Linked DNA regions of Styela clava. The protein of the gene in region 2 purifies or fractionates together with the protein of the main gene of each other region. This does not show direct contact. Links are inferred from orthologs where the notes say so. Each region holds a gene or a part of one and is shown on either strand. Other genes may lie near its edges.

What was found.
Region 1: the proteins of valine--tRNA ligase-like (region 2) and elongation factor 1-beta-like fractionate together in Homo sapiens (co-fractionation; 3 studies listed by BioGRID, with this or other methods). This does not show direct contact. The link is inferred for Styela clava from reciprocal best matches to the Homo sapiens genes VARS1 and EEF1B2.
Region 3: the proteins of valine--tRNA ligase-like (region 2) and elongation factor 1-delta-like purify together in Homo sapiens (affinity purification with mass spectrometry; 5 studies listed by BioGRID and IntAct, counting the BioPlex papers as one, with this or other methods). This does not show direct contact. The link is inferred for Styela clava from reciprocal best matches to the Homo sapiens genes VARS1 and EEF1D.
Region 4: the proteins of valine--tRNA ligase-like (region 2) and elongation factor 1-gamma-like purify together in Homo sapiens (affinity purification with mass spectrometry; 6 studies listed by BioGRID and IntAct, counting the BioPlex papers as one, with this or other methods). This does not show direct contact. The link is inferred for Styela clava from reciprocal best matches to the Homo sapiens genes VARS1 and EEF1G.

The regions. Positions count from the first base shown.
Region 1 is NC_135263.1:4,633,639-4,641,260, forward strand, and holds the start of elongation factor 1-beta-like, read right to left. Parts: upstream 3,009-7,622; 5' UTR 2,930-3,008; coding exon 2,850-2,929; intron 719-2,849; coding exon 596-718; intron 1-595. UniProt on the Homo sapiens protein: Catalytic subunit of the guanine nucleotide exchange factor (GEF) (eEF1B subcomplex) of the eukaryotic elongation factor 1 complex (eEF1).
Region 2 is NC_135254.1:12,253,348-12,260,553, reverse strand, and holds the start of valine--tRNA ligase-like, read right to left. Parts: upstream 3,026-7,206; 5' UTR 2,933-3,025; coding exon 2,793-2,932; intron 2,695-2,792; coding exon 2,499-2,694; intron 1,980-2,498; coding exon 1,836-1,979; intron 1,136-1,835; coding exon 939-1,135; intron 440-938; coding exon 277-439; intron 1-276. Other genes in the region: gap junction alpha-3 protein-like, read right to left, coding at 5,421-5,736, 5,939-6,075, 6,468-6,592, 6,855-6,885. UniProt on the Homo sapiens protein: Catalyzes the attachment of valine to tRNA(Val).
Region 3 is NC_135255.1:3,748,375-3,756,039, reverse strand, and holds the start of elongation factor 1-delta-like, read right to left. Parts: upstream 3,019-7,665; 5' UTR 2,922-3,018; coding exon 2,784-2,921; intron 2,071-2,783; coding exon 1,990-2,070; intron 1,863-1,989; coding exon 1,710-1,862; intron 1,628-1,709; coding exon 1,433-1,627; intron 635-1,432; coding exon 542-634; intron 176-541; coding exon 74-175; intron 1-73.
Region 4 is NC_135261.1:11,231,334-11,238,644, reverse strand, and holds the start of elongation factor 1-gamma-like, read right to left. Parts: upstream 3,001-7,311; 5' UTR 2,885-3,000; coding exon 2,726-2,884; intron 1,647-2,725; coding exon 1,545-1,646; intron 719-1,544; coding exon 623-718; intron 1-622. Other genes in the region: uncharacterized protein LOC144430572, read right to left, coding at 4,597-4,715, 5,059-5,235, 5,426-5,611, 5,683-5,859, 6,417-6,593, 6,977-7,121. UniProt on the Homo sapiens protein: Probably plays a role in anchoring the complex to other cellular components.

The DNA.
Region 1 (7,622 bases), on a different chromosome or scaffold from region 2:
GCCGCTAGTTTACAAGTTATCAATCCATTCACATCATTTTGATGCATCAACAAACATTGCCACCACACTATGTAAGGGCGAGTGCAGGATTCCAACTACTTACACTGCCGCTGGATGTATGTAGACCGCACAATACAAAATTTTATTTGATTCTCAGACTTGGGAGGGTATAACACTACACCAACCCTATGTTGCTGTGCACTCAGTCCTATCGATCCAAATTATTATCTCAGCATGAAAAGCTTTGTAAATAGGTTTCATCACTGTGCACTGGGGAGTGAGGTGTGATCTGACAGAATCACCAGTCTTTCAATCATAATACCATTATCCCGACCAGATGCGCTTCGATTTTCAGTGGGGTCCAAATTGCCCTAAGGTGTCTGCAGCAGGATAATCATAGTTAGGCACACTTTACAAACGAAGCTACGGTCTCAACTTACAAGAAACTTCGGGTTGAAAATACTTAACTATTGACCATCAAATTTAATTAACAAAACTTTTGGCATATGTAAGACTTCTTTAATAAAATGCTGAGAACGATAGTAAAACCAATGTTTTATGGATTATAGTAGAAAGTTTTGACTGTTTTACCAACCTTCCAAATTGTGATTTGTATGAGAGAACATGATTGTACCAACGTAACGCATGAACATGCTTGGCATTGGGTGGGCCGGATATACTTTCAAATATGGCAACATCTCCTTGTGATGGAACATACCTAAAATTTAAAACAAATATCTTATTTTACTGTGTGAACATGTTGGTAAAAAACTAAAGGGTCTCGTGAAGTAAGCGTAACTGCTTGAATATCCGCAAACACAAATGCGGTGAGTACTTCGATAACGCCAAACATAAATGTGATGTGAAAATAGAACCCAGATTTTCAATTTTTTATAGAAATGAAAGTCCGTCTTGCGCAAATTTCACATCACATTTTAGTTGGGCGTTATTTAAGCAGTTACGGTATGGTATCTACTTCACTCGATCCAAACTAAATGGCAATACCGGTAATGTAATACCACCTTGCAAAATTTAATTACAATTCAACTGCCAGAAAATAAAAAGATAGCTGCAGCCCCAGCAGTTTTTAAATTAGGTCAAGACAGGTTTCCAGATGTATCAAACCCATGAGGCCTTTACTTCCTCATACACTAATTACAAATCATAAAACGCAGGAAAAAGTTTTAAATGAATGTCCAATAACTGAATAAAGTTCAAAAAATCTCAATACAGCAATACCGTAAAAGCGCCTAACTTCGGACAGTTCCTAACTTCGGACAAAATTTTTGAACGGCCATATCTTGGCTAAAACGCGCCGTATATTGGTAATTTTAATTATTATAGGTTGCGCTGTTATATCTACATCTATTCTCATCTTTTTTAATGTTGCATTTTTATTTTTTTGGTGAAAAAACGGAAATTTTGCCGAAAATTGACTGCCCGCCATTCAACGGCGCAGAGCGTCGCTCCTACTGAAGCTATCCTCGTCAAAATACCATCATTCGGTAGAGGGCGACAACAATGTATATAATTCATTTGAGTGATCGCAAGATGTCGTACGAGATTTAAATAAAACCTAAAATTCTGAATTATAAATTCCGTAAGAATATTAAGATTTCACGCAGCGTCAAAAATTACGTCAAACTCACGTAGATTATTTTTCGCTCACTTCCGACACGACGTCACACTGCGTCGCGGAAATGAATTTTGACGCCAGACACAACGGAGCCAATATGACAATTTCCGTTAAGATAAAGACGGCGTTCCAATGTAATATTTTTGTATTTTGTTCGGTCATGTATGAATATATGCCAAAATTACATTAATGAAAATACATGTCACACTTAATCGATGACGTTAAAAATCGAATATATAAAACTATGGAAATTCCAACGTCCATATGGCACAGTGCACTGACTCGACCATTATTTTATGATTAGTAGTCGAAATGACAGTTATTGAGGCCTGGGTGAATTTTATTCACTCGAAATTAAAAATAAATTTAATCTCCAACAAATAAACGGGACCTACATGTTTACAAGATTAAGTTGAATTTTAAATTAAACTTCACAATCGGATTTTCCGTGTGTTTGATATAAATTATCATTTATAAAGATAACCGCGCAGAATAAAAATATTAATACTTCAAAGACTTCGATAGAAGCCCGTTAAAATACTTCATTGTGGATTGAAACGGTTTGCATCAGATATATTTACGTATGCATTTCCTGATTAAAATGACTAACGTGTTATTATACTCATCTGAAGTATCGAAAATGACGAACGAAAGATGTAAACATAGGACGACGGAAGTTTCAAATAATGCATTTTCGTCGTGACGTCAATGTTACGTTACGACGACGATCGAGCGTCTTATCTTCACGCAACGACGTGATTACGTCATCCGCATCGGAAGCCTCTTTCTCTCTGTGCGTCGCGGTTACGCAGTGAAGAAAATGACTGTCCGAAGTTAGGGCAGTGAAGGATAACGGTCAGATGGCAAGAAATATCGATTATTTCAATAGTAAAAATAGTCCAATTGAACCGAAATTTGCAGGGAATGTAAATTACCGCACGAATTTGCAACGTTTGGACAATAAATGGCCGAGTTATTGACGAAAATATAGTAATTTTGTCCGAAGTTAGGCGCTTTTACGGTATGGGAAGATAACTATTTTTTAGGAAATGTTGATATTTTTTATATAGAAATCCGTATTCATTGTAATCCCTACAGTATTTGCAAGCATGAATCCCAAAATATGTTTAACTGTTCGCGTATGACGTCACTGCCCTGCCCACCTTTTTTATGCCCATTTACACGAGATAATTTACAAAAAAATCAAGCTCACCCTTCGATATAGCTTTTATCTTCGAGATAGGTATTTAGTGCAGATAATCCACAGTCACTCTTCAAATTTCCGAAACCCATTTTAAAGAAATTACGGCGATTAAACAAAAGAAGAGAACGAAATCCAAACCAAACGCGTGGCAAAATTTGGGAAAAGGGTTCTTCAGTGAACACGGTTCATTGCTTTGCCGATAAACCGTGGTTTCGTGCCACGAAACAGATTTTGGGCCGAATTTATCCAGAAAATCAATGACATTAAACAACATGATGCGCAACTCCGGCATTTTTGTCCGAAGATCGTATTCGATAGCACGCTCCAATGCACATACTTGACGAGACGAAAACGAGCGGATGTGTGCTGCTTTCAAGGCGTAGCACGAATGGTGTTCGTGCCTGCTTTGACAGTTGTTGTCGATTTTAATGATATTTTGGAAAGTTAAGGTAAAAAGAAATCGGAAAAAGGTAAGGTAAATACTATTGTTGTATATCACACCCGGGCATCGCACTGTTAAGTACATGTGGGAAAGTCAGCCTTTGTCAAATACTACGAAGTTATACATGCAGTACGGTACGTGGTTGCCCATTTGCCGAAATTACATATTTACTTACCCCTTATGGTTTCAAATAGTTCATGCACCTCCAGTTAGATTTTTTTAATCAGTGAGGATATATACTCATTGTTGATTGCTGCTCATTGTAACATACTATTGCGCATTCACTTTTATTTGCGTATTGAATCAAAGTGTTAACAAGTCCACCTAACATTTCACTCATACCGGTCTATATTGTATAGTCTGATCTCTCAAATATTTGGAGCCACGAATGCTTGTAATTTTCTGACTAAACCCTTTTATTAGTTTGTTTTATTGACCAAATTCAGTAAAATATTTTTTACATAAAACATGAGATATTGGATTCATTAGCTTTTCCATTCTAAATCATATAGACTGCTTTATTTATTCTTAACGAAAATTAATAAATCTCCTCTCTTTCTTCAGATGTGAAAGTTGTGGACAAACCTGTCTAAGCATTGTGAGACTCCTGCAGCACAAGAGGCAATAGCAGAAATAGTAAGTATATCAATCAAGAAATTAAGCCGACATAAAGCAAAACTTTCAATTATTCGTCTAATCACAATTTCCTATTATTTATTCACAGAACAACTATAGCAGAAGGGGAGATATCAGAAGTCTGGCGACATATCAGTGACATGCAAAGACATTTGACCCTCCGGTAGAGTTGTGTATGACCCCTACATCCTGATTCCTGCAGGGCTTGAGGAAAATAACTAAAAATTGCAAAGCGTAAAATTACATACTCGGTCTTATTTGTAAAGAGGCACAAAACACGCCAGACATACTTGAAACAGCTTTGGAAAATGAGGATTACGGGTAACTCACTGCACCTGTGTTATATTTGGTTCATCACCTTTTGGTAGTACTATAGAAGAAATTCCGGAAGGGGTATAATCATCATTCATGATAAAATACTATCATATATATTTTTGGACAACTTCAATCTAGACCAGAGATCTCAAACTCGCGGCCCCAGAGAACTTCGAGTGCGGCCCTCGAACGCTTAACAATAATTGTAATAGTATTTTTATTTTTTTTTTATCTAAATGTAATAGATTTTTCAAACCTTTTAAAGTGAAATTGATTATTCACACAGAAAACAATTTACTGAAAGTAGTTTTGGAATATGAATTTTTTTTGTCCACATTTTGACCCAATTAAGAATACACATCAAGCTTGCAAAAGAATACTTGAATAAACACTTGAGTGATTAAATTAAACGCAAAGTACATGAAGAAGGTGGCATTTTCGAAGAAAATGGGAGTTGTAACTTTTCTGCTTTTCGCAAAATTGTCATATTTCTATCAATACAATGAAAAAACACAATAAGCTCAGCAGTCAATATGACAAATTCGAAGACCCACTTCGAACAGAAAATTTCCATGTGTTTGTATATTAATATATTTATACAACGACTTAGTTACTAAAAATCAATATCAATAATAATTCAAGCAATCCTATGCCACGCAATGTGGTGCGAAATGTCTTGTCGAAAAAATCTGTCATTTGTTTTTTTACTGATCTACAGTATACATGAAATGATAAAAGTACTTTTTTTGCATTACTGGAATTGATTAAACATTCGCAAAGATCCAGATTAACCCATGATCATGTGGCCTCGTTAGTTAGAGTTGGTACTATAAAATCATTTCAGCCTGGCCTTAGTATGCTGGTGACACAAAAAAGATGCCAAACGTCAGGACAAATGTAATTATTAAAACATTGAGTTTATACTGTAGTATTTTTGTTAATTTTAGGTTCATATATTTAGATTAAGTTATTTTTAGTGTATGTATTATTCTTTCCTTATTTAAAGCTTGTTCAAAAATGATTTTGATGGTTGTACATAGAATTTTATGATTTTTCATAATAACTACAGTAACTTGCAAATGTTGCAATAATAGTGGAATGCAAATATTAATATGTAATTGCATTTGAAATTGAAGAAAATAATAAAACTTAATCCAACTGTTTAGTTGCATCACAATATATGTCACAAACTAAAACTATCTTAAAAATATCTTTTAAGTATACATTATCAAAAACTGTTTGCGGCTCTTTTTACAATTTCCAAAATGCAATGCGGCTCTCGAAAACCCATAAGTTTGACACCACTGATCTATTCTAGACGATTCAAGCATTGCTTTGGGAAATAATATCACTTCAATTAAATTGAAATAATCTCGCTATATTAAATACAAAATCGTTGCTATCATAAAGGTAAACCAATTTAGCCACTCGAAATATATTGGCCTTCACAAAACAATGGAGGCAAAATTGAGAGTTCATGAGCTATGAACATTTGTTCTTTTCTTTGTCTTGAACTTTTCATACTCCACAGCCCCTATTAATTTTTTTTAATTTTAATTACCATGTGATGGTCATACATATCTTTAACTTGTATTTTCTGTCATGATGTATTATCTCAATGTGCCAAACTATTAATTAGTGTGCATATTTTGCTTCCAGATGACATAAATGTATTGTCTTGTTTATTACCTCAACTTGGAGTATTGACAAGAAAAGGTACCAGTAAATTAGATAAAAAAAATTTTAACTCTTTGTTATAATCAGAATTCACAATCAATAGGAATTATAAACAGCCAACCATCAATGAGAATGATATGTGAAATCCCTCATAATAAATTTGTCTAAAATCGGAGGAAGGCAAATAATATAGGTAGTTTCCATCCACACAAGCATTTCAAGAAGACTTGCTCGAGCCAAACTAAATGAGCATCGTCAGGTGGTCGGTAAGGCTGCAAGTTGAATTCAGCCCTGCAACCTACCGCATAGAAAATAATATTAATTAGTGGGCTATGAGCTAAATTCCTAAATTTAAACAAACCTATCTACGATGCATTATGTACCAGCAATGTTACCTACGATTAACTGAATATGTAATATGTCTAATAAATTCACCTACAAAAGCAAGTTCGATAGGTGCAAACTTTGTGTTATGGAATTGTATCACAGCACAATTTTGTATGACACCCTCCTAAAAAGAAACTTCAATGATTAAGCGCAAACATTAAAATTACTAACTTTGAACTTTGTCATTATCTGCAAAATGTTCCACACAAATCTTTCCGCTATCGCGTTTGTAATCTTCTCTGATAAAAAAAAAACGTCTATGATGTCCAGAATTGCTCTTTACAGCTTGCCTGCCATTCCAGCTTTCCAAGTGAGCAAAACTTCTTAGATATAGAGATTATTTTGTTTCGTTACAGACGCAAAAAGACAGGTACTACACGTAAAAAAGACGCCGAGTAGCAAAAGCGAGCGGAAAACGGACGCGAAAGTCGACGAGAAATATGTGCATTGGAGCGTATCATGAAATACAATGTTTCGCCTGTAGTCTTATGGAGTGACGTCAGAGTTGCCTATCATGTTGTTTAACCCTTTCCATGCGATTTTTATTTTTAATTAAATAATCGTATTTGCTACGCCGATTTTACGCATTTGTACCCCCACAACTAATCGATCGACTAACGAAAAACTAATGATCCTCTGCTGCCCACTGACGGCTCGTTGGAAATCTTATTCAAAGAGCTTGCAATTGGCGATTGAAAAAAAAAGTTTTTTTAAAAGTGGTGGTCTGAGTCACAACCCGGATAGAAAAAAGGCATTTTTTTTTCCTTGGGAGTTGAAACTTCAAACCGTGATAAAAAATAGAAATATTCGCTAAATCCTTTACTGTTACCGTTTCGTGGTTGGCAAACAATAGCATAATATTGCTGTACCAATTTCGTGATCTAACTCAAAATACTTTGGTAGATGGAATGGATAATATGTCTTCTATTACCACCCAAAAAACATCGAAATTTGCATAAATTTCAAAAACACTCCCTCGTTCCGCCGCAAATAAAATTCCCGTCGTAAACGAGAGCGAGATTTACCGTCGCTTATGTTAATCTCGAAGAAGACTTCTTATCAATAAACTAAAACCCGGAAAAACTAGACCAACAGTTTGCGACCGATTGCTAAAGAAAACAGTGGAGTACATCAACGTACCCGCCGCAATCTAGCGACTTTTGTCGTTGGTACGTATACGTGCCCACCGCACGGAAAGGGTTAATGTCATTGAGAAAATGAAGTGTATATGTACAAAGCGATTATTAATGAAAATTGCAGCAGCAATATTATAGATTAGTTTACTCTATAAATTTAAATATATAAGATGGTTATGCGTTATCAGT
Region 2 (7,206 bases):
TAAAAACAATCTTGTGTTCATTCAGTTATCAAGAGTAGTCTTGAAACTGAATTTATATCATTGGCAGAAAATGTTCAGAGCCAAATTATAAAACCTGCCTATGAATTCTTTTTGAGTAGTACTGTTAGAAATTGTTTCAATTGGCATTATAATATCAAGAAAAATAAGATAGGCTTTGGAAAAAAAGATATCAAAATACAGCGAAATTTTAGAATATACACAAATTTGGATATATTTTTCTTCACTTAAATGTTTAAGCAACTTTTCAATTATCACCTGCTGAGCTTTTTTCTGTTCTTCCATTTTACTCTTCTTTGCATTAAATTTCTCCATTTTCTCTCTCTTTTTCGCTTCCTTTTTTAATTGAGCTGCTGATTTAGGTTTGTCTCCAGCACCAGAGTTCTCATCATCCTGGTTTTTAGAATCTTTTGAATTTTCTCTAAAAGGTTAAAAAATAATACCTTGGCCTTTATGCAAGAATTTAAATTTGCCAATACAAGAAGATAGGGGTGCTCCCGAAGTATGCGAACCAAGATGGCGGACATCGGAACGTAACATGGGTAACAGGTTAGGGTTAGGCGATAATTCTTTTCCAATTTTCCTTATTTTAGTCCTATTATCAGTTCGAAGACTAGCCAAGAGTCTCCCGTAGTATTTATACCTGAAATTACGGCCTAACCCTAACCTAGTACACATATTACATTTCGATGTCCGCCATCTTGGTTCGCATACTTCAGGAGCCCCAAGATAGGATATGTTAGCTTGGTGATAATAGCCTTTTAGTGTTGAAAACTTTAGTACAGCTAACGGATTTATAGAATGAAAATAAAATCTGAGCACCATTTGTTTGTAACGAATATTATGGCATCCTGCAGTACATAAATAATGGAAATTTGTCAGCGGATAGGTAAGCTAAAAAATTAGATAATTAACATTACTTTTTAGGTTTATCTTTCAATGCCTTAATTTGTTTCTGCATTTCTGCATATTTTTTGCCATCAAAAACTTCTGCTTTTTCACAAATTTGAATTTCATTATCTTCTTTGAGGACTTTACGAAATTCTGGTTGGTTTATCACAGTTGTAAACCATCTGGTCATATTCGGATATGGTTCATATGTTTTCTTGTCCAATACCTACATAATAATACCATAAATCTTATAATACAAAATGAGTTAGTGATTCTTGAATTCTGGATTTTAAATTAGGTGTTGCCAAAACCGAGTATTTCTGTAACTAATTTTAGTCAGCTGAGCAAACCATACTACACATGCAGTCTTTATTAATAACCAGGATAACTCATTAATGTTTATAAACAGATGTTGGATACAAACAAATATTTTATAACATAACTATGTCTTTATTCTTTAAACCAACATTTCCATTATGATGCAAAATGCTTCAAATATGGCATCATTATTTCAAATTTGTGAAACAATAAGACTTGAGGTAACTAGATCATGATGAATGAGAATCGGGATACCAGAATATTTAATTATAAGGACAACCAATTATGTTAATTTGAAAAGTTGGGAGTGAAATCAATGAAATAAACTAAACATTTTTCTCAACATTACTGCATGCCTTTGCACCAAGAGATTCCTAAATGTATAATGAATAAGTTGGTATAGGAAGTATGAAAGAAGATTTTTTTAAGTGATTTAAAACTACAAAATATTTTCACTACAGTCAGATGAAACTTCAAAGAACTAAATTAGTGTTAGGATGCAGCAAACACATTCAATTTCATTATTACCTACGCTTCCAATATTGAACTAAGACTCCAATAATTAAAACCATAATTTAACAGATGAGTAGCAAAACAAAAGTACTTACCAATTGTGAAGGTAGATACAATGCAGCTGCACAAGCAATATCAGCTTGAGTTACTCTGTCACCAGCAAGATATGTCCGAGTTTCCAGATGTGAATTCAAACACTTCAGCGCATTTTCTAGGTCACTTTTTGCTTTCGCGAAATCCTGTACAAATACACAAAACCACGAATATAAAAAAATATTAAATACAATGCAATAATGACGAAATTTAATAACTGATACAAGATATAAAAAAATGGGTCTGATATAGTTTAGTACCATTTCTAGTAGGTGTAGTCTAGCTACGATCGCTCAAAATGGCAACTGCCCATTTTGGGTGATCATCTGCCGTTTCAGACGACTGTCCACATATTTTGACAGGCCTTATTACATCACTGTGAGCTGTAGTGATGTAATTTTTGGATGACGTAGTGAGATGGGAGTTAGGAATCACATATGCAAAAATTGTTGAGCCACAATCACTAGAAGTAGGCTACTTGTGGTACGAAATTCTACTAGACATGGAAAAATTATATAAAATATTAGGCAGCACAAGGTGCAAATATATATTTTAAAATGTGACAAACGAAGTAGTACAATGAGAAGACATAATATGCTTGGACTAGAAACACCGAATTCCCCATAAAATCATCATTAGGACTGGTATATATGAACACGTTTTACCTGTTTATTATAAGATTTGATGCCAAGAATAGGAAATGTCCAGACGCTTCCAGGAATATAAAGTTCTACATCTGCAAATTCAATCCATTGATAAACTGCGGATTTTTCAAACTCATTGTCTCCCCACAAACTTTTTGATGAAACAGATCGACAAATAGCATTGTTTTCTGTGAAGACAATGCTTCCTGACTCATACCTTTGAAACAGAATATTTTTTATACGCCATTGATTACTGGATTATAGCCAAGAATTTAGACAAAATATCTGAATATATATTATAGCATGAACCATTACCTTGGAACTGGTTTTCCTTTAGATTCAGATGATTCAACTTTAATATTCACTTTGCTTTTGCTGAATTCAACTGCAGCAAGTATCTTGGTGCAGAAATAATTTTCAGAATTTTCAGGAAATAATACCGTTCCAGACATCATCAGAATAATAACCAATAAATTATCATTTGCCAATACCTGAACACTGAAAACCAAAGATTCAAATGCTGAATGCAACTTTACCTACTAACGTCTGACCGCACGTACCGGTACCGGTACTGCAGTACTGTTAGACGACGTTCAGACGTTCGAAACCTCAACTTTCAAAAATTAAGTCTAGGTAGGAACAATAAAATGAAGTAGCCTAGGTGTCGTTATCAAATTTATAGCATATATTCTTTTACCGTGTATTTGAATATGGCATTAGGAAGTAACACAACACATACACACAAATGCATTAGACTACGAATCTACGATTAAAAATTACGTTACAAGTGCAAAATTGTGCTGTACTGTAGATTTCTAATTTTGTGTGACACATGTCACCCATAGAAGGTCAAAGGTGAACCGTTGGGTCGGAACCAACGACTAACATAACGAACGGAAGAATAATTTACTTACGCTTAGCATACATTAATTAACCTATAAGAAAGTTCAAATATTCATTCTAATACACAAGCAAAAAGACGTAGTACGTTATCTAATTTTTTTTCATGTGACTGACGTTTCGTCTTCCGAAATGAACGCCGACACAACTGATATATCAATATACAGTATGCTAGCTAACATTGTACGCAGAAATTATATACCACATTCAAAATTACCTAATATATGCACATTTAGGAATTGCACCATAGTCCCAACTGAATGACGAAATATAGCATAATATTGTTGTCTGGGCAAACCACTTCCCTAAAATTATCCGCTTTCATGATACGTGGTGGTGCAATGCACACAATACCGACTCGACAGCGATAGCTTGTGCACTAGCAGCATTTATCGGGATATTCCCCGGTGTAGAATCCATATTGATTCCCTCGTATGAAATACGACATAGTTTAACTTATCTTATGCTATATGTAAATCCTTTATGTAATACTCGATGGGAGTAACGCAAAGTTCAAATCACCAGTAGTATTTTATTGTGGAAAGTACAAAATCCAGATACAATAAACAAGTCAAATGCAATGATTTTTAGTTGGTAGCAGAGTTAATGAAACCAATAAACGGCAATTGTGTGTTAATTATGCAGCCTTGATTGGCCCTCGTCGACGCCGGGTGGTTCACGCAACTGATGGAAGATTAAGTCCCCATCCGCCCCACCTAAGTCCACGTATCCGGAACAATTAACTGGCTGGCTATTCCAATTCTAGATCAGTGTCGGCTAAGATATGAGAATATTTTGTCTGGCCCGGGGTTAAGTGAGGTTAAAGGTGCTTTCAAAATAACATGAAGCACTTCGCTCAACATCTCTTGTTACGTAATTATTTCAGTTACATCGACTTGACGGTGTTTCTTTCTGTAATAATCTTTACGCTCAAAAGCATTCTTATTCCGAGTGTTATATTATTATCTCGTGTACAGTTGAAATATCCCTTGATTACTCAAATTGCATTTTTCTTTTATCCACTCGTACTATGAATTACTTGTTTGTATATATATATATATATATAACTACATCAATGTCGTGTATTTTCAATGCTTTAGGTTTGAATCGAAGAATTTTAGAGTCTAACTAGAATTTTGTTTGTCTGGTAGTTGTGGAAAAGCTTTAAAAAAATTTTAAATTGCCAAATATAAATTGGATAGAATATTATCAACTTCAATTTGCCTCAGAATTAAAATTATATCAATCGCCCAATTGCAATGGGAATTTTGCTTTAATCAATATCTACAGACATTAAGATAGGCTTTCAAGCAATTGTGATATAATGCTATATATATAAATTTATCCTGTTTCTAAAGACTCTTTTGATATTTATATATGTTTCAAGGTTTTGAAAATTGATTTTTGATCCAAATCAGGAACAGATCTGTTGACTGTGCAAACACTCAAGTGCCTGAATCGTCATGTGATAATTGAATATACATCGATTAAAGAATAAATATCTTAGCATCGACAACATTTTGTATTGTTTGCTTCATCGAATAATGGGCGAGTAGCCAATTACATGAAACCAACATGCCATCATATATGCATATAACATATGCATATATATTATAATGAATAATTAACAGATCTTTCAATGCCGTTAGGGTTACCATATTTGAAAAGGCAAAATTCCGGACAGTGCATGACTATTTTCATGACCTCGTAGTAAAAAATATGCGCATGGTACGAATACCAATGTTCTGTATTAGCAGTGTGCACAGTACGATTGCAGATGCAGTAAAATTCAGGATTCCGGACATTTAGGCATTTTTTAAATTCTTCCCGGACGCAAAATTTAACCCTAAATTACGGACATGTCCGGAATTTTCCGGACGGTATGGCAACCCTAATATACGTACTAAAAAGACTATTTGATAGTTGCTTTCAAATATTCCGTAAACCAGGAAAAAGGTATCAAACAAATCTATATTTGGGGTTGCTAGAACATGTTGTTACTGCAGTACATATATATGCTATAAATATAAATGTACAGAAATTTCAACGGTAGCGCCTTCCTCGTCGGAACCTTCTACCGTATGGCAAAGGCCGAATATTCGGTAAACCCGATGCATTAGGATATCCCTCTATTTCATCTTCCATGTAGTCAGCACCGGGAGCCCACTCGTTGTAGTCGTAATCATCAATACCACCGAAACTGGGCCCTTGGTCAGCGTGTTTGGTAATATCATCATCCCTCTCTTTCCATGCTTTTGAGAAATTCCCTGATATGTGATAAAGTTCCAACAAGTTCAGCATGACCATGATGCAACCGGTTCCGAAAAATACGCAAATGAGAACTGATTTCTCTTTTGGTCTGTAACGAAATTTATTTTTATATCTACTAATCGAACGAAATATTCCAGAAACTGTTTTCGTGGATGATCTGTTTTAAATTCTTTTGAATATAAGCGCAGACGATTGTTAAAACTTAATTTGATTTTATTATGTAATACTATTTGATTAAATATTAACTTGGTTGTGCTTTGCATATTGCTACAAGATAATACATCACTCACCTCCCAACAAAGCAATCAACGACGTTTGGACAAGGCCAATGTTGACACTGCCACAACTCGGGTACCATGAATTTGAAAGTATAAAGATAATACTGGCCAATAGTAAAACCAATTTCAACTATGGTGCGAGACAAGACCTGAGAAATATTTTGCACAAAATAAGAGGATGCGAATTAAAAGACGACATAGCATATTGTACAAAAGCGATGGCGTAATAAACGTCACGAAATGGAGAAAGTGTTTGAAATTTTATGTGTAGATGGTATATAAACCAAAATTTTCAGATACTTTCGCTTTATTTTATACTCTATTAAATCAAGTTGAAATAATTATCATGTTTACGTCTCGATGACATTGTAGAGTTAATTAGAGCATCGTCATACACTTTTCATAACATGCCCTGGATTTTAACTAAATATGAATTTGTTGTCAAGTTTTATAGTCGTGTCCCGTTCAAAATAGAGGCATGTAATGAATAGAGTGTCTTATTATGAGACTTCACATTGCTTAATGAAGAAAGTCATCTTACCACGAAGAAGTAAGCAAGAAACAATTTTGATGGTGCATTTACGGAGAGTTTTGTCGCGACGATTTCTTCATCCTTGTCGTCATCATCATCGTCGTCGTCTTCGATATTTAGGTTGTTTTCTCTTGCTAAATTTGGAAATAATATGTCAAACGAACAATAATCAGATGGAATCATATCGCGAATGCGAAATGTTCAAAATACTGTTCTGCAGTGAGATAAGAAAAGGAAGGTCAAAAGTAAACCTACAATACTATTCAGTTTAAACATTATTATTCAATATTATCTTCCGAGAAGTAAAACGATGATGGAAATCATTAATTATTAATATTTTAGTTTCCATCCCTCGTACAAAACTTTTTTCTGCTATAGACATTTTAAAATGCCAACCTTCTATTCCTTCCGCAATTCTTTTCTTTTTCTAAAAAAAAAATATTTCATTAATATATTAGAAAATGGTTCACATATAAGTATCAAGTAAAACTAATAGAAGGCTGTTGATCCTAGGGTTTTGTGAATTCACTAATTAATAGAAATGTGTATATAATAACCAAGTATCATACTATGCTGCTATAATGTCGCATTTAAATCGAACTTAGATACTTATTAGAGCGATGTTTTAAAAGTGCTGGTATCCCAATTTAAAAATCTCTTGTTTAATTCCCATACATACCACCTCACCCATGGAGTTTTGTAGGCTATCCCAAACCGTGTTGATGAATTGAATGGGAAAAAATGTTGT
Region 3 (7,665 bases), on a different chromosome or scaffold from region 2:
TCTTTTGAGGTTACCCAAGACTTCCACCACTCACCACCCTGCTCAAAATTGAATTTCGCAATAACAAACTCACATGGTCCTCATGACGAGTAATTTCCTCCTCAAGGAAGTCTGTTCCAACTTTATCATCTTCAACAATGCAATTGATTTGAAGTTTCTTGATTCCAAACGCAACCTGCGAAATAGTATATTCTGTACCATTATGATGTTTCAAATGAGCTGAACTAGGCTGCATTTACCGATATGATTGTGCTTGCAACAAACAATGCATACAGTCTCAATATTGTTATGTCATCCAGATGGAAATTTACCAATCAAAAGAATACTTATAACAACTACTTTAGGCATATCGTAATGGCAATCATCAGTTGGTTACAGAGTACTGTTATATTCATATTATACAATATTGCTTTTATAGTTCCACAAACATTAAATTGAATCGTCGTTATAACTAATAAGGTAACACATCAATTGGGCCTCTACTTCAATGTATCTAGCTTGCAGGGAGCAATTCAACTACATAGCAAAAATCTTATACAACCTCTACTAATTTCGATGCTGCCCACTTCAATCCATCTGTTGAGATATTCCTCACAAGTCTCTCCACTTCCCCCATGTCTGTTTGATCATCCCACTGTTAATAATGAAGGTAAGAATTCCTAATTAAAAGGAGACCAATATCACAATCACAAAAGTAGAAACAAGCTCTACGTTCTTTTTATAATTTGTTGTATTTACACTTCTGCTGCAAACAAGGCTATGAATCAGTTGATCTCAAACTGTGGGCGCGTGGACAATTTTTTTCATTATTTACGTTAAATCCACGTATTTTCAACGTTTTTTTGCGCCAACGCGCCTTATCATCAGTTATTTATTTGTAGCTGATTGTTAGCTACTGTAGTTATTTTCGAGGTGGAGCACGAGACTTCACAAATTCCTAAAAGGGGACACATTTTCAAGGTGGAGCACGAGACTTGACAAATTCTAAAAAGGGGGCACGGCTTCAAAAGTTTGAGAACTGCTGCTCTAAATACAAGCCACACATGGGGTTGACCCTAACATCATTAGTCTTGGAAAGTGATCACACTTAAATTCCCTAGTTGCCAAAATATATAGGCCTGTATTGCTAGTAAAATGAGCAACACAAGATCTAATTGATTGCACAAATGGTCCAGTGACATATAAACAAGTACAAAATACATTTATGTAACCTAAACATAAAAGCTATAAACACTCAACACTGTTCAATATAATTCCATGATAATATATAACACCTAAAAAAGTATAATATTAACAAACCACCCAATAACACTAAATGTCAAGCAACATACAATTCATTATGCCAGACAACACATGGTCCTTCCAGTACGTTCTGGATGCTGGAGTAGGTGAAATTCTCATTAGAAAAACCTAAATAATAAGTGAAACTTACAGGTTTGACATCGAGTAGAATGCTAGACTTTGCTATCACAGCTGGCTTTTTAGATTTTTTTTCAGCATATTCCGCCAATCTTTTTTGTTTTATTTTTTCATATTCATCGTCTTCCTCAGAGTCAGATGCGAAGAAATCCATGTCGTCAACATCATCGTCAGATTCTGATTTTTGCTCAATTTCGGTTTTAGAAGGCTATACTTGCATTAAACAAACATAAAAGAAGGTAAATTGATGTTCAGCAATTTGCAATGGACCAACTCATACAATTAACAACCTGCACGGCAGTTTCTTTACTGCCAGACTCTAGTTTGCTCAGTCGTGCTTCCATCGCATTCATTCTCTCAACGAGGGTGTTCACCAACTTCCTCAAATCATCATTTTCACTTCGTATTGCATCGACTTTCCCAGAGTCATTGCCACTAACTCCCTAAAATATAGATTTATATGAAAGTTGGAATAAAGGGTCCTAGTTTTGATAAACAAATTTAATAAATATAAAAAAGTATCAGACATAACTACTATAATATGGTAATCTAAAAAAAACTGCAACATACAGTATCAGATCCCTGTAGTGTTTGATGTATTTTTTGTCTGGCTTGAGCAATTTGTTCTGCGACACCTGAACCACAAGCACCCTAGAATTTCATATAATTAAAAGTTAATTATTAGGTCTATAATGATACCACAGAATGAAAAGATTTTCAAATTTGCACAATTCATGCATAAATATTACAGTATTATGAGACAAGTACCGGTAATATTTGTAAAATCTGAATTACTTTGAAATAAATTATTTCATAAATTATTAACACGTAAGTCTGTAAGTGGCGACTTTTACAGGGTAATACAGTAATATTTTTATGACCTTGCATTACTGAGATGAGAACTCAGACAACAGGTCGAGGATGTTGGTTGGGGCTCAGGATGCTGGGTATGAGTAAATTTAGTAGGGTTCAGACAATTGTGTGATTATCAGAGCATGGTTGATCAGGGTGATTTATTAAAATTACTAGTAATGCTATTTTTTGCTTTGTTTTTCGAATTAAATCAGATATGGATGATGCTTTGACTAGGCTATCATTTATTCAAATAATAGACTAAATATTAAAATTATGCTTAATTCGCCTCAGATATTGAAAAAAATAAATCAGGCTTAATTCACCAGAGAGATTTGACTTAAGAGCAGTACAGACTTGATAATTTTGAATGAGATTTAAAGTTAGGTTATAGGCTAACACAGTTTCATTTCGATTATTTTATCAAGTACATGAAAACGTCCATATTTCAAAAACAACTACAAAACCATAGTAAGCTACCACCACCGCTATTAAAATACTATCACCATCACCCGTTTGTCAGCTTTTGCTGCTGGTTTTACCCGTTGTTTCGCCATGTACACTTCATATTTGTATTCTTCTTCTTCAACCTTTGGTCGGTCAAACCAAACATCCGACAGCAAATGTGAAATGGGGACGGTTGAAGGCATTTTATAGACAATAAAATCAAATCTGATCCACGAAATTAAGAAAAGTTGAAGGATGGAACAGAAACCAAAATCGTGGAAACTGACGAAAATCAGAAGGTGAAAGGTCATGAACACGTGAAATGAAGCATGTTACCGGATGTGCTCAGAGCACCATTACTGCAATATCCGGTGAACAAAACAACTGAAATTTCCAGTCTCTGTAACTCTATCCACCTATATATAATTTTATCTCGAGCTTATAGGTATATTTACTTCTCTAGTTTAGCGTTCCAGATACTTGAAATTGGAAGTATACACTATTTGGAAGGAACAGAATATTTTATGCTCTGCATAACCTACCCAAATTATGCAAAATTTCCTCATACTGAGGGTTATTTATCGTCGTATCATTTGTAATAGATGTTAGTGGAAGGTGTCACTTAAAAGAAATGCCCAGTGTGTTATATTCTCTCTTATACCATATTAGGACTCATTATAGAATATGAATTTCATATTTATAAAATGAAAGGGGAATGCCAATAATACGACTCAACAATATTACGAATAATGCCCTCTCGTCCGGTTACCAGTCAATAGCCGGCTTGGGAGTAGTTTCCATAGGCGTAGCCTGTAAATGAGCGCCCATATAGCTTGGATAACTTCGACAGAGAAATAAATCCGTGGCGAGATTCTTTAAGATGACGTTAGGTATCAATGGCTGCTCGTTCCTGAGCTTTTCGTGGCAAAAGGCGCGACTAAGCGTCGTATTATGCCATATTAAACCTTTCATTCGTTTCAGTCTCATAGACTTGATTGTACGGAAAGCGTACTTTTCAGAGGATACATTAGCCAATGTTCGACGATATTGAGTAAGGCGATTCTCTCGTACATAATGATCCCCCGTGGTATTCAAATCTGTGAGTCCATACAGAACAATCAGAAGTGCGACGACGAGAGTGTTCCCAACGCTTAAATCAACTTGATTGCAATTTCTTTAAAATCCACGTACTTGTGTTAAATACCCGATGGGTGTGGCGATATATATATATATATATAACTCTATTACGGTAGTTAAACGGACCTGCCATAATTGCAGTACTTAAGCGGACGTCGTTCCTGTGTCTGTATCATTGTTTTTAAATACGTACTTGGAGAGCGCGAGAGCCGTTGACAACTACAGAGAAAAAGAGTCAACACAATCCTCTCGATAACAGATATAAAATTTTTGTCCGCTTAATTCGTCCACTTAATTCAGACCACCAAATGTTTTAGCCTATTTCGGCACTAAGCCGGACCCCTCTTATATGTCGCCCTGGATGTCTACATAAATGATGCTGCTTTTATTTTATTACGCATTTTAAAGCGTATGACCTCGCTTTAATTTCCGATGGATGCGAACCATTTAGCATTATTTATCACAGAAAATAGCATTTTTTTTCAATGTTCAGTATTTTGTGCAAGGGAGAGGCACTGTGTTTGGTGTTAGAAATAATCTTCCATGTCAAAAAATACTCAAAATGCAACGTGAAGGTAGACAAATCGAAACAAATTGATTCAAACGTAATATATATTTGAAACTGAGAAATACACAGAGCATATCACAAATGTTCGCATATTCCAACCCTATGGTGTAACATATAGATTAAACAGATGCTATGTTGTGAGTGTCACAAACTTTATCTCAAATGTCCACCTATCCGGCCTTTTAAGTTATCCAAATAATTGTAAATGGGAATTCTGGTATGTCATTAATGAAGACAAAAATCACACAAATTCGATTTCAAATGTTCATCTATTCGGTCACTCAAATGTGGCACGTAATTGAAAAATGAACACCAGCCCTATTGAGAAACATTACACGAAATATATCTCAAATGTCCACTTATCCGGCATTTAAGTGTGGCATATAACAATTAAAATAAAAATTCTGAAATCATATTGAGAAATATTACAAAAAGTATATCTCAAATGTCCACCTATCCGGCCACCTAAGTGTGGCATACAAGAATTGAAATGAAATCTCTTAAATCATATTGAGAAATATCACACAAAGTATATCTCAAATGTCCACCTATCCGGCCACCTAAGCGTGGCATACAAGAATTGAAATGAAAATTTTGAAATCCTATCGAGAAATATCACACAAAGTATATCTCAAATGTCCACCTATCCGGCCACCTAAGTGTGGCATAAAGCATTAAAATGAAAATTGTGAAATAATATTGAGAAACATTACACAAAGTATATCTCAAATGTCCACCTGTGTGGCATAAAGCATTAAAATGAACATTCTGAAATCATATTGAGAAATATTACACAAAATATATTTCAAATGTCCACCTATCCGGCCACCTAAATGTGGCGTACAAGAATTAAAATGAAAATTTTGAAATCATATTGAGAAATATCACACAAAGTATATCTCAAATGTCCACCTATCCGACCACCTAAGTGTGGCATAAAGCATTAAAATGAAAACTCTGAAATCATATAAAGAAATATTACACAAAGTATATCTTAAATGTCCACCTAAGTGTGGCATAAAGCATTAAAATGAAAATTCTGAAATCATATTGAGAAATATTACACAAAATATATTTTGAATGTCCACCTATCCGGCCACCTAAGTGTGGCATACAAGAATTGGAATGAAAATTCTGGAATCATATTGAGAAACATTACACGAAGTATATCTCAAATGTCCACCTATCCGACCACCTAAGTGTGGCATAAAACAATAAAATGAAAATTCTGAAATCATATTGAGAAACATTACATAAAGTATATCTCAAATGTCCACCTATCCGGCCACCTAAGAGTGGCATAAAACATTAAAATGAAAATTCCGAAATCGTAATGAGAAACATTATGCGAAGTATAAATCAAATGTCCACCTATCCGGCCACCTAAGTGTGGCATACAAGAATTGAAATGAAAATTCTTAAATCATATTGAGAAACATTACACAAAGTATATCTCAAATGTCCACCTATCCGGCCACCTAAGTGTGGCATACAAGAATTGAAATGAAAATTCTGAAATCATATTGAGAAACATTACACAAAGTATATCTCAAATGTTCACCTATCCGGCCACCTAAGTGTGGCATAAAACAATCACAATGAAAATTCTGAAATGATATTGAAGAACATTACACAAAATATATATCTCAAATGTCCGAATACCCGACTACCTAAGTGTAGCATACAACTATTGAAACCAATTCCTGAAATCATATTGAGAAATCTTACACAAAATATATCTCAAATGTCAACTTTAGTGTGTGAAATATAACTAAAATACGAAATTTCGAATACTAATTATATTTTGATGTTGTGGAAAATTGCTCAAAATTTATCTCAAATGTTCACCTATCCGATAACTTGAGAGTGACAAATATTATAAAACAAAATTTTGAAACCATATTGAGGAACAATACAGAAAATATATCGCAAATCGTCATCTACTCAGCTACGTAAGTGTGTCATGTAAATGCAAAATGATATTTTGGAATGACAATAATATTAGGAAGCATTCAAAAAAAATTTCAACCATCCGACCATTTCAGAAGGTATGTAATTAAAACACGAAATTCTCTAAAAAAAATATCGAGAACCATTACACACAACATATCTCAAATGTTCAATTAAGTGGCGTTTTCAGTGGGGCCTATAAATGCGAAATGAAATTTTGCCATGTCAACTAAAATGAGAAACATTACACCAATTATAACTCAAATGTCTACCTATCAAGGCGCGCCTAAGTATAGCAGTGATTATACAGTCAACTATACAAGCGATCAACATGAAATTATTCAACCCCGATATCAATTTTGAATCTTTGCACAATTTATTTAAAATTTTTGCACCAACTCGGAATACAAAAACATGATTGTTATTTTGAATTTATAATTAAATAGTAAAAATGTATGCCAAGTATGTATACGAATGTGGATATGCCCACTAGATTAAGTTGTTGAGGAGAGACAAAATTATGTGCTCACTGCCGGTTCATCTTTATGAATTATACAGAGATGTCTTGAAGCTTTACAATAAACTTCTAGCAAGATATACAAAGCCGTGCAATTATTTTTCTTTTCGTCGTTTCTTTTCTGGTTCACGTTTATTTAGAAGCTTTTTTTGGAATTGATTTACAGCCCTTTTCTTTTCCGTATATATGAGTTTCTTTTAAGTCACTTACATTGCTTATTGAAAGTGATTCTGAAGATGGTGCGGTATAGTCTGTTGACTAATCTGAAACTTTGGTCAAAAATACATGCATAAGTCACAAAACATCATCACAGTGTTCTAGTCCAATTCAGAATTACGGTACTCTTGATTGACCGAACAAACGAAGTGTTTGAAATGGGGAATTGCATTATTACTCAAATAAAACAGTGGGGGCTCCCGAAGTATGCGAACCAAGATGGCGGACATCGCAATGTAATATGTGTACTAGGTTAGGGTTAGGCCATAATTCTAGGTATAAATACTACGGGAGGCTCTTGGCTAGTCTTCGAACTGATAATAGGACTAAAATAAGGAAAACTGGAAAAAAATTATCGCCTAACCCTAACCTGTTACCCATGTTACGTTCCGATGTCCGCCATCTTGGTTCGCATACTTCGGGAGCACCAAACAGTGTTTTTAAACGGTGCACTACAATTATTCGTAGATAGCTGCGCTATTTGTGATGGGCTACAATTGATATTATGATTTGGTTTATTACCATTCATTGGTATCAATTTGAGATACCGTGTTTAATT
Region 4 (7,311 bases), on a different chromosome or scaffold from region 2:
CGTCATAATAAAAATCTGCATCTCGGTATCGATAATATTACCGCACGCTTAAAATTCGGACGGTAAATTTACAAAAGTTGATAAATAATGAAGACCAAAACCAACGCAACCTGTATAAATAAATCCTCGCAAAAAACAGAGAACGGGCGGGATCCAACTTCAGGATATCGCCGTAAAAACCGGCCAATGAAAAAATATTCGTTATTCGTTAAAAATATTCAAATCATTCGATTCGAAAATTTTTTCGATTTTGCCCACCCCTACTTAAAACCATCTGTAAAGAGCAATTTTTCTGTGAATTTCAGACCAAAATTATTTGAAAGTCATCAAAAGAAAACTGAACTACCCAAATAAAAACTTTGTATATCTCATCAAATAATTTGATACCGAATGTCATAATATGACCCATCCCATACTTCCTGTTTATTTAAGAATAGAATAGGGCATCAGTAACAAGTCTTCAACTCTAGCAATCATTTGAAAAAATCAACACACCCTATTTGTTACTGTGTCTTGATTTTATAAATGGAAAAATGAAAAACAGTGATAACTAAAATATTCTCACATCCCATTTAAGCATAAATTATTTTGTGGTGTAACACTATACAACTCTTATTATTACCTGTTTGTTAAACTGAAGAATTCCTTTGGTCGGATATACCCACGTGCAGGCTGCAGGGAGAATAACATTGTCAGCTAAGCCTATCCATTGTAGTACCTAGAATAAGTCGATTATTTGAGTTCTTGAATAGTGAAGGCTGGGGAATGGTATATTGTTCCCAGCATTGGGAAATGTCTGCCGCTGAACCTCTGATTACCCTGCATGGGTTTGCAGGTTCGAACCCAGTGCAATTAAACAAATAACTGACAAACTAATGATGGCTCGGCAGTGTGGCACATCATGCTAAACTTTAGAAATACGCCCGCCATCGCACCTAGGATTACTTTGCGTGGGTTTGCAGGTTCGAATCCTATGCACGCAAGGACGGTTATTTACAAGAGGATTGCTGGACTCCTCGCCGCCGTAGGGTGGTTGATGAAACCATTGGTCAATTACGGCTTCTTTGATAATGCCGTCTTATCAACTTTCCTATCCCCAGGATATGTAAATCCTATCCTGATACCATATCAAACATGGTCTGGTTACCGAAGACAGGCCAAGGCAAGTCATGTGATTATGCCATCCTATTGACTTTCCTCTCCCCAAGGGTGAATATGAAAATCCTATCATAAGCAAATAACCTTCATCCTCTTAGTAACATTTGATTACTGTATGACAGATAGATGTATAAATAATGATTAAAATAAGGTTGAAAATATGTTCCTGAATACGAAATTAAGAAAACAAATTTTGAAATCCAATTCATTTAAATTGTTGAAAAATATGTTTACTTCAATCCATAAGTAACATAGCCGTTGTTGCAGAAAAGAACTAAACGTGCATGCATGGCAATGGATATAGTAATATTGCAGAATTTTCCAATATTAAAATTGTAGCTTGATTTTGAATCTATATAAAAAATTAGGATGCCAAAATTTCTTACTTCTGCCTCTCTGTCTCCACCTCGGGTTTGTTCGTTTCCAACATAATGAGCAATTCCGTTTGGTTCAAATAGCTTCACATCACCACATTCAAATGCTGGAACCTGTTAAGATATCAGTGCATGCTTTTCAAAGGGTTTAAGTTAAGAATGATGAAAAGTGTTGCGGAGGATGAAAAAATTACTATAATTATTGAGACTTAAGAAAGTTTGAATGGAATTAGTTTTCGCTTGAACTGCATTTAATGACAATATTAAATATTTATAATAATTTAGAAATGTCGGAATGTAGGTTATTAAGTATGAAGAAAGTTTGAATGGAATTAAGTTAGTTTTTGCTTGAATTGAATTTGGTGACAATATTAAATCTTTCTAATAATAAAGTAATGTACCGTAATAAATATGTTTAGGGTCTGGTATAGTTTCGTGCCTCAATTACCGGTACTTCTGATGGGCGTAGAAAACACTTTTTGCATATGTCAATACTAACCCCCACCTGACTGCGTCATGCAAAAATTACGTCACAGTGACGTAATAAGGCCCTTCAAACTATACGAACTGTCATCCAAGACGCGCGCCTAAAATTGAGCTATGTATTTCTGGGTCTCGTGTAGTTTCGTACCTAACGTATTTCTCATAGGCGTAGCATAACAATTTTTTGACATTGCAATCCTAACCCTCACCTGACTACGCCATCCAAAAATTATGTCTCTACGACGTCGCAATCACGTCATAGAGCTTGTCAAATACTCGTATGATCGCCCGAAATGGCATCGGCGCCGACGATAAAGAACTGACTAACGTCAGCGATCTCTCTCCTATCGGGATCGTTGCGACGAGAAAATGAGAAAAATGGCTATTCGATTTCGGGTTCTCGTCTGCGCGTCTTGGATGAGAGTTGGCATAATTCGAAAGGCTCTATTACGTCACTGTGACATAATTTTTGGATGGTGTGGTCAGGTGGGGGTTAGGATTGACACGTGAAAAAATTGTTATGCTACGCATACTAGAAGTACCTTAGGTAGGAAACTACACGAGACCCGTACGGTACCGTATTTCTCTCGTCAAACAGTCAGTCGAAATGATCCCAATACAGCAATATCAGAATATGGGAAAGATCGATAGACCCGCTAAGTTAGCTAGACAATGACAAAAAAACAATTAAAGGATCTTCACCGTCCTACCTTCCCAAACGGAAACTTCTTGAGAAATTCCGCCGATTTATCTGTTTCTCCAGCAACAAAGTTTGGATAGACATTAACTGTCTTCCCGCTATATTGAGCAGCAATCAGGATCTTGTGTGCCCGGAAACTGTCGGGAAATGTATATAGTGTGCCTGACATCGTAAAATAAACTATCCAGAAGTTCTGTACCCAACCAAATTTCGAGATTTTAACCAAAATCGCGAGAGCCGTCAGCGTGCAAAAGTCGGACGTCCACCATGGACAAAAAAGGAGTAAAATGACACGCGGTTTTGTATACGTCATTTTATTCTCCGAATGTCACTACCTGACAAACACTTAGATATACTAGGTATTTTAATTTTATTTTGGAATGTAATTACCTGATATTATTTTACTATTTACTTATTATTAAACACGAACTGAACCTATAGATCGTTTTGTTATTAATAATATTATGTTGTTGTTAGTATTCTGAGTTTTTTTGTTGTTGTTGTTGCTGTGAAAAAATCATTTGTCTTTTCAACTACTGATTCGATTTCTTGAAAATTTTTAATGATCTAAGATTGTTGTTGTTACTAGGAGGCCATTCTGTTATTTGTTCCTATTTATTTATTTTCTATGAATCTTATGAGAGCTTATATTTCGTTCAAAAGTTTATTTATGGGAACACTGTTTTTATTCGTCCAAGCGTGACGACGCAGGAGTTGAATTTGTTTATTGAGGTGTAAGTTGTAAAAGTTATAGGATACGATTTTCGGAGGAAGTGTGTGTAGAATATTTTGTTTTGGCTTTCTTTCGGTGGGTAAGGTTTTTGAACCAGGGGTCAAAAATTTTGCCCACCTAGTCTGGCGGGCAATGTAAGTGTGATGTAAAAAGTTACATTTTATGAACATTATTTATAGTGTTACAAAGCAAAGGTGAAAAACATTAAGCCTCCTAATAAGACTGAATTTAATCGCAATTTCAACAAATTCCTTGAGTTATTTTAGCTAAAACATCAAAATTTGTTTTTAGTTTGGTTGTCACAGCATCATGCGGGCCAGATTGAATTAACCAACGGACTGGAGTTGGCTCGTGGGCCGTACTTGGCCCATGTCTGGTCCAGACCTTTAGTTATCACGTAAAATTATCTTGCTTAGTTTGATTCTATATAAATTTTGAAAATCCTGAGCGTGTATTTTTTTACATATCCGATGAAATTAGAAGCATTCCCGTTTGAAATTGCGTTTATCACTGAAATGAAAGCCCATTTTTTTACATTAATTTGTGACTTAACGTGTAACTGAAAAACAAGGTGGGTCACTTGTTACCCGCTGGTCAATCGCTCGCCATTACCATATATATATATATAGTCTTAATTGAAAAATACCGTACTCCTAATCTACTATTATTCTGAAGTGGACGGCAAAGTTTATGTAGTACTTGACCAAATATGCACATTGACGGTAGTGTTGCGCGTTGCGCCTAATAAATGCTGCCTTAAACTCCGTGTTACATACATCCGTGCTTAGATATTAATAAATTGATGAGCAATTTTTATTTTATGCATTTAAAATGAGGTCGTTCGGGGGTCCAAGAATCGTTCATGAGCTCAGTTTGCCGTCCACTGCTCTACTAGAGTCAAGGCAATCTTCTCAGCTCGGAGCGCAGGGTATTACATTCGGTACGTGAACTGTAATTCTTGCGCTAACCGGAACTGGAGAATACAAATTCATACTCGCGAGTCCAATATACCGGTATGTAGGCCACCGTTGCATGATTATTTATTTAAAGGTTCAGTACAAATAAAGCAAATAAATTCAAGCGTTTAATACATTCACCACATAATTATTCGTGTCGTGAGATCTTGATTTAATATTGAATTGCATTTATTAGTTGATAAGACTTAGCATCCAGTTCAGCCAAGTTCGATTATCGCCTTGCAGAAGACTTCGTTTTACGATAGGACGACGTGGTCTGGAAGGTCTTCTCCAGTCTCGTCTCGACGAAGCTACAATATTGATAAACATTTGCCAAATTCTTCGTTCAATTCAAGCAGAACTTGAATCAATTGATAATTATAGTTATCTAATATACCACTAAAAGTTTATATTCCATACGTCCGGATGCTTATGCCACAAAACTTGATTTGGAAAATTCTGTAGACGACACGTATTTTGATGAATTCCATCATTTGTCATTTTATTACGCCTTTTATTTTCTAATAATATACAATGTTCCAGTTAGAACCAAAGCTAAAGTTCATGGACTGGACAACACGCATTTTAATGAGTCACATGTGGTTCAATCCAGTATTGTTGCGTGACTTAATATAACCCATTAAGATGACATACCTTTATTGCATGTAAATTTTGGCGTTGTCCACTCTCCATTTGTGCAATAAACCAATGTGCGTCCCCGTGGTTCATGACCACGTAAGCATACATACACAACAAGTATTTGTTCTCTGTTGAGTCGCCTTTGTATAGTTGTGCGAGCGTTTTCTACGGACGGTGGATTTTGACAACCAGCTGTAAACATGTATATATAACGTGTTATGCTTTCATGACTAGTAGGGCGATGTGATCAAATTTTCCTTTGACATATTCAGAAGTGATGCTTCGGCCCAGAGAACGTTTCTTTCTGTCCTTCTTGCTCTTTTCGTTATTTTCAGTAAATCTCTAAATTTTACAATAAATTCATAAAATATTTGGAACTTACCGTGGCATGCGAATTCAGGACTTTCCCACTCTCCGTCCTGCCCACATTTTATTCTTGGTATTCCACTCAGTTCGAAACCGTTTTTGCATCTGTAGTAAACATATTGTCCAAAGCGTATCTGTCTTCTAGTGGACACAAATGATGTTAATACGGCGTTTTTAACAATGGTTGGTGCTGGGCATGTTCCTAAACACAATACAAATATAAAACATTAGTTAATCGCATTAACGAACCTAAGTATATAAATGGCTTTTTACCTGCACAAACAAGGCGAGGTTTAGACCAAGTCAAATCATATTCGCATCGTGAAAAGGCATGTCCTCTTGCTCGGTAGCCCGGCTTGCACGCATATTTGACAACATCGCCAATAAAATATCTCTCTTGTAATAAAGGAACTTCCGCATTTTTCACCGGAGGAGGCATTGGACACGAAACTTGAAAGAAAGAATAAAAACAATATAATAATTTATTTTAATCTAGAATGATCGAAAGACTTGGATGGATATCATTAAGATTTCTTGCTATGGTATAAATTAATGTAGTTTCATCAATCTTTAATATTTGGTAAAAAGGAGACAAAAGAGAAAACATATCATGTGGGACATCTGAAAATATAAAAAGTCATCTCAAGTAAAATTTTCTTTAGTTTTTGATAGTTTTTTTCTTCTTTTCGTTCATACTATGTCCATTTCTAGTTGCTATACTTAAAAAATTTGGACTTCTTCATTTTTCCATAGATATGTCTGCTCTTAATTTTGAGTAAGGTCTTATTCGCAATAATATTCATAATTCAAGTTTAATTTTATCTTTCCATCGCGACGAATTTTGGATTATAATATTTGTTCACGAGGAATCCAAAATTGGTGGGCATATTTTATTGCATTCGTATTATAAGAAAATATAAATAAATATAGTTGTTCGTTTTAGTAACATTGTAAACCTTTTTAATTAAATACATTGCTATATGTGGATATAAGTAGAGGAAGCTCACCAATACAAGTAAACTGTGGTTCTGAAAACTGTCCATTTTCTTGACAAACAACATGATTAGTTCCATACACTCGATACCCGTCTGTGCACTGATATTGGACAAACTGTCCAACTCCATATGATCTTACTGGATCAATCACAGAGGCATGATCAATTTTGGGTAATTCTTTGCAGCCGACTAAAGATTGTCAAGAAATTCACACTGGATTATTTATTTTATAGATAGTATTATTTAAAGGTATAAAAAGTTTTGTTAAATAGCATTAAAGACTCTGAGTTTATTGCCAACAAGTATCTCCAAAACTTACGTACAACGTTTCATGAAAAAATGATGAATGTATAAAGTAGAGAGGTATGTTTTCGATAAATACTTACGATTATGTACTTATACGGAAACGTGGAGAAATGTGAATTAGTTGTTTAAATTCGAAGGACATTCGAAGCTGGCCTTCCCTGTTGTATGCTGTGGGGCCAAGTCGAACATATATCCGACAGTTTGGTATACCAAACAATGTCATTTAATGGTTTATTTATACTAATGGAACTTTTGTTTCTTATTACCTGGAGCCATTTTGCAGGTAAATTTGATCCCATAATGACATGGAACGTCATTCCATTGTCCGCTTCTAAAATACAGCATGACGACACAGTGTTCTAAATCCTGTAACAAGCTGTTCGGTTGTCCTGGTCGCCAATGTTTGTAGGTCTACATGAAAATGAGTGGGCGCGTTGGATACAGTCAGCCAGGAGGTAGTTTATTTTCCCGCAAACCAAAAGTACACATTGGACAAACGTAATTGAGAAAGATAAAAAAATGTATTGAAGGGAAACGCGATAAACCAGAGATGGTTATCGAGCAGCGTCACCTTTGAGGCAGTGAGTCTAACATTTAATCA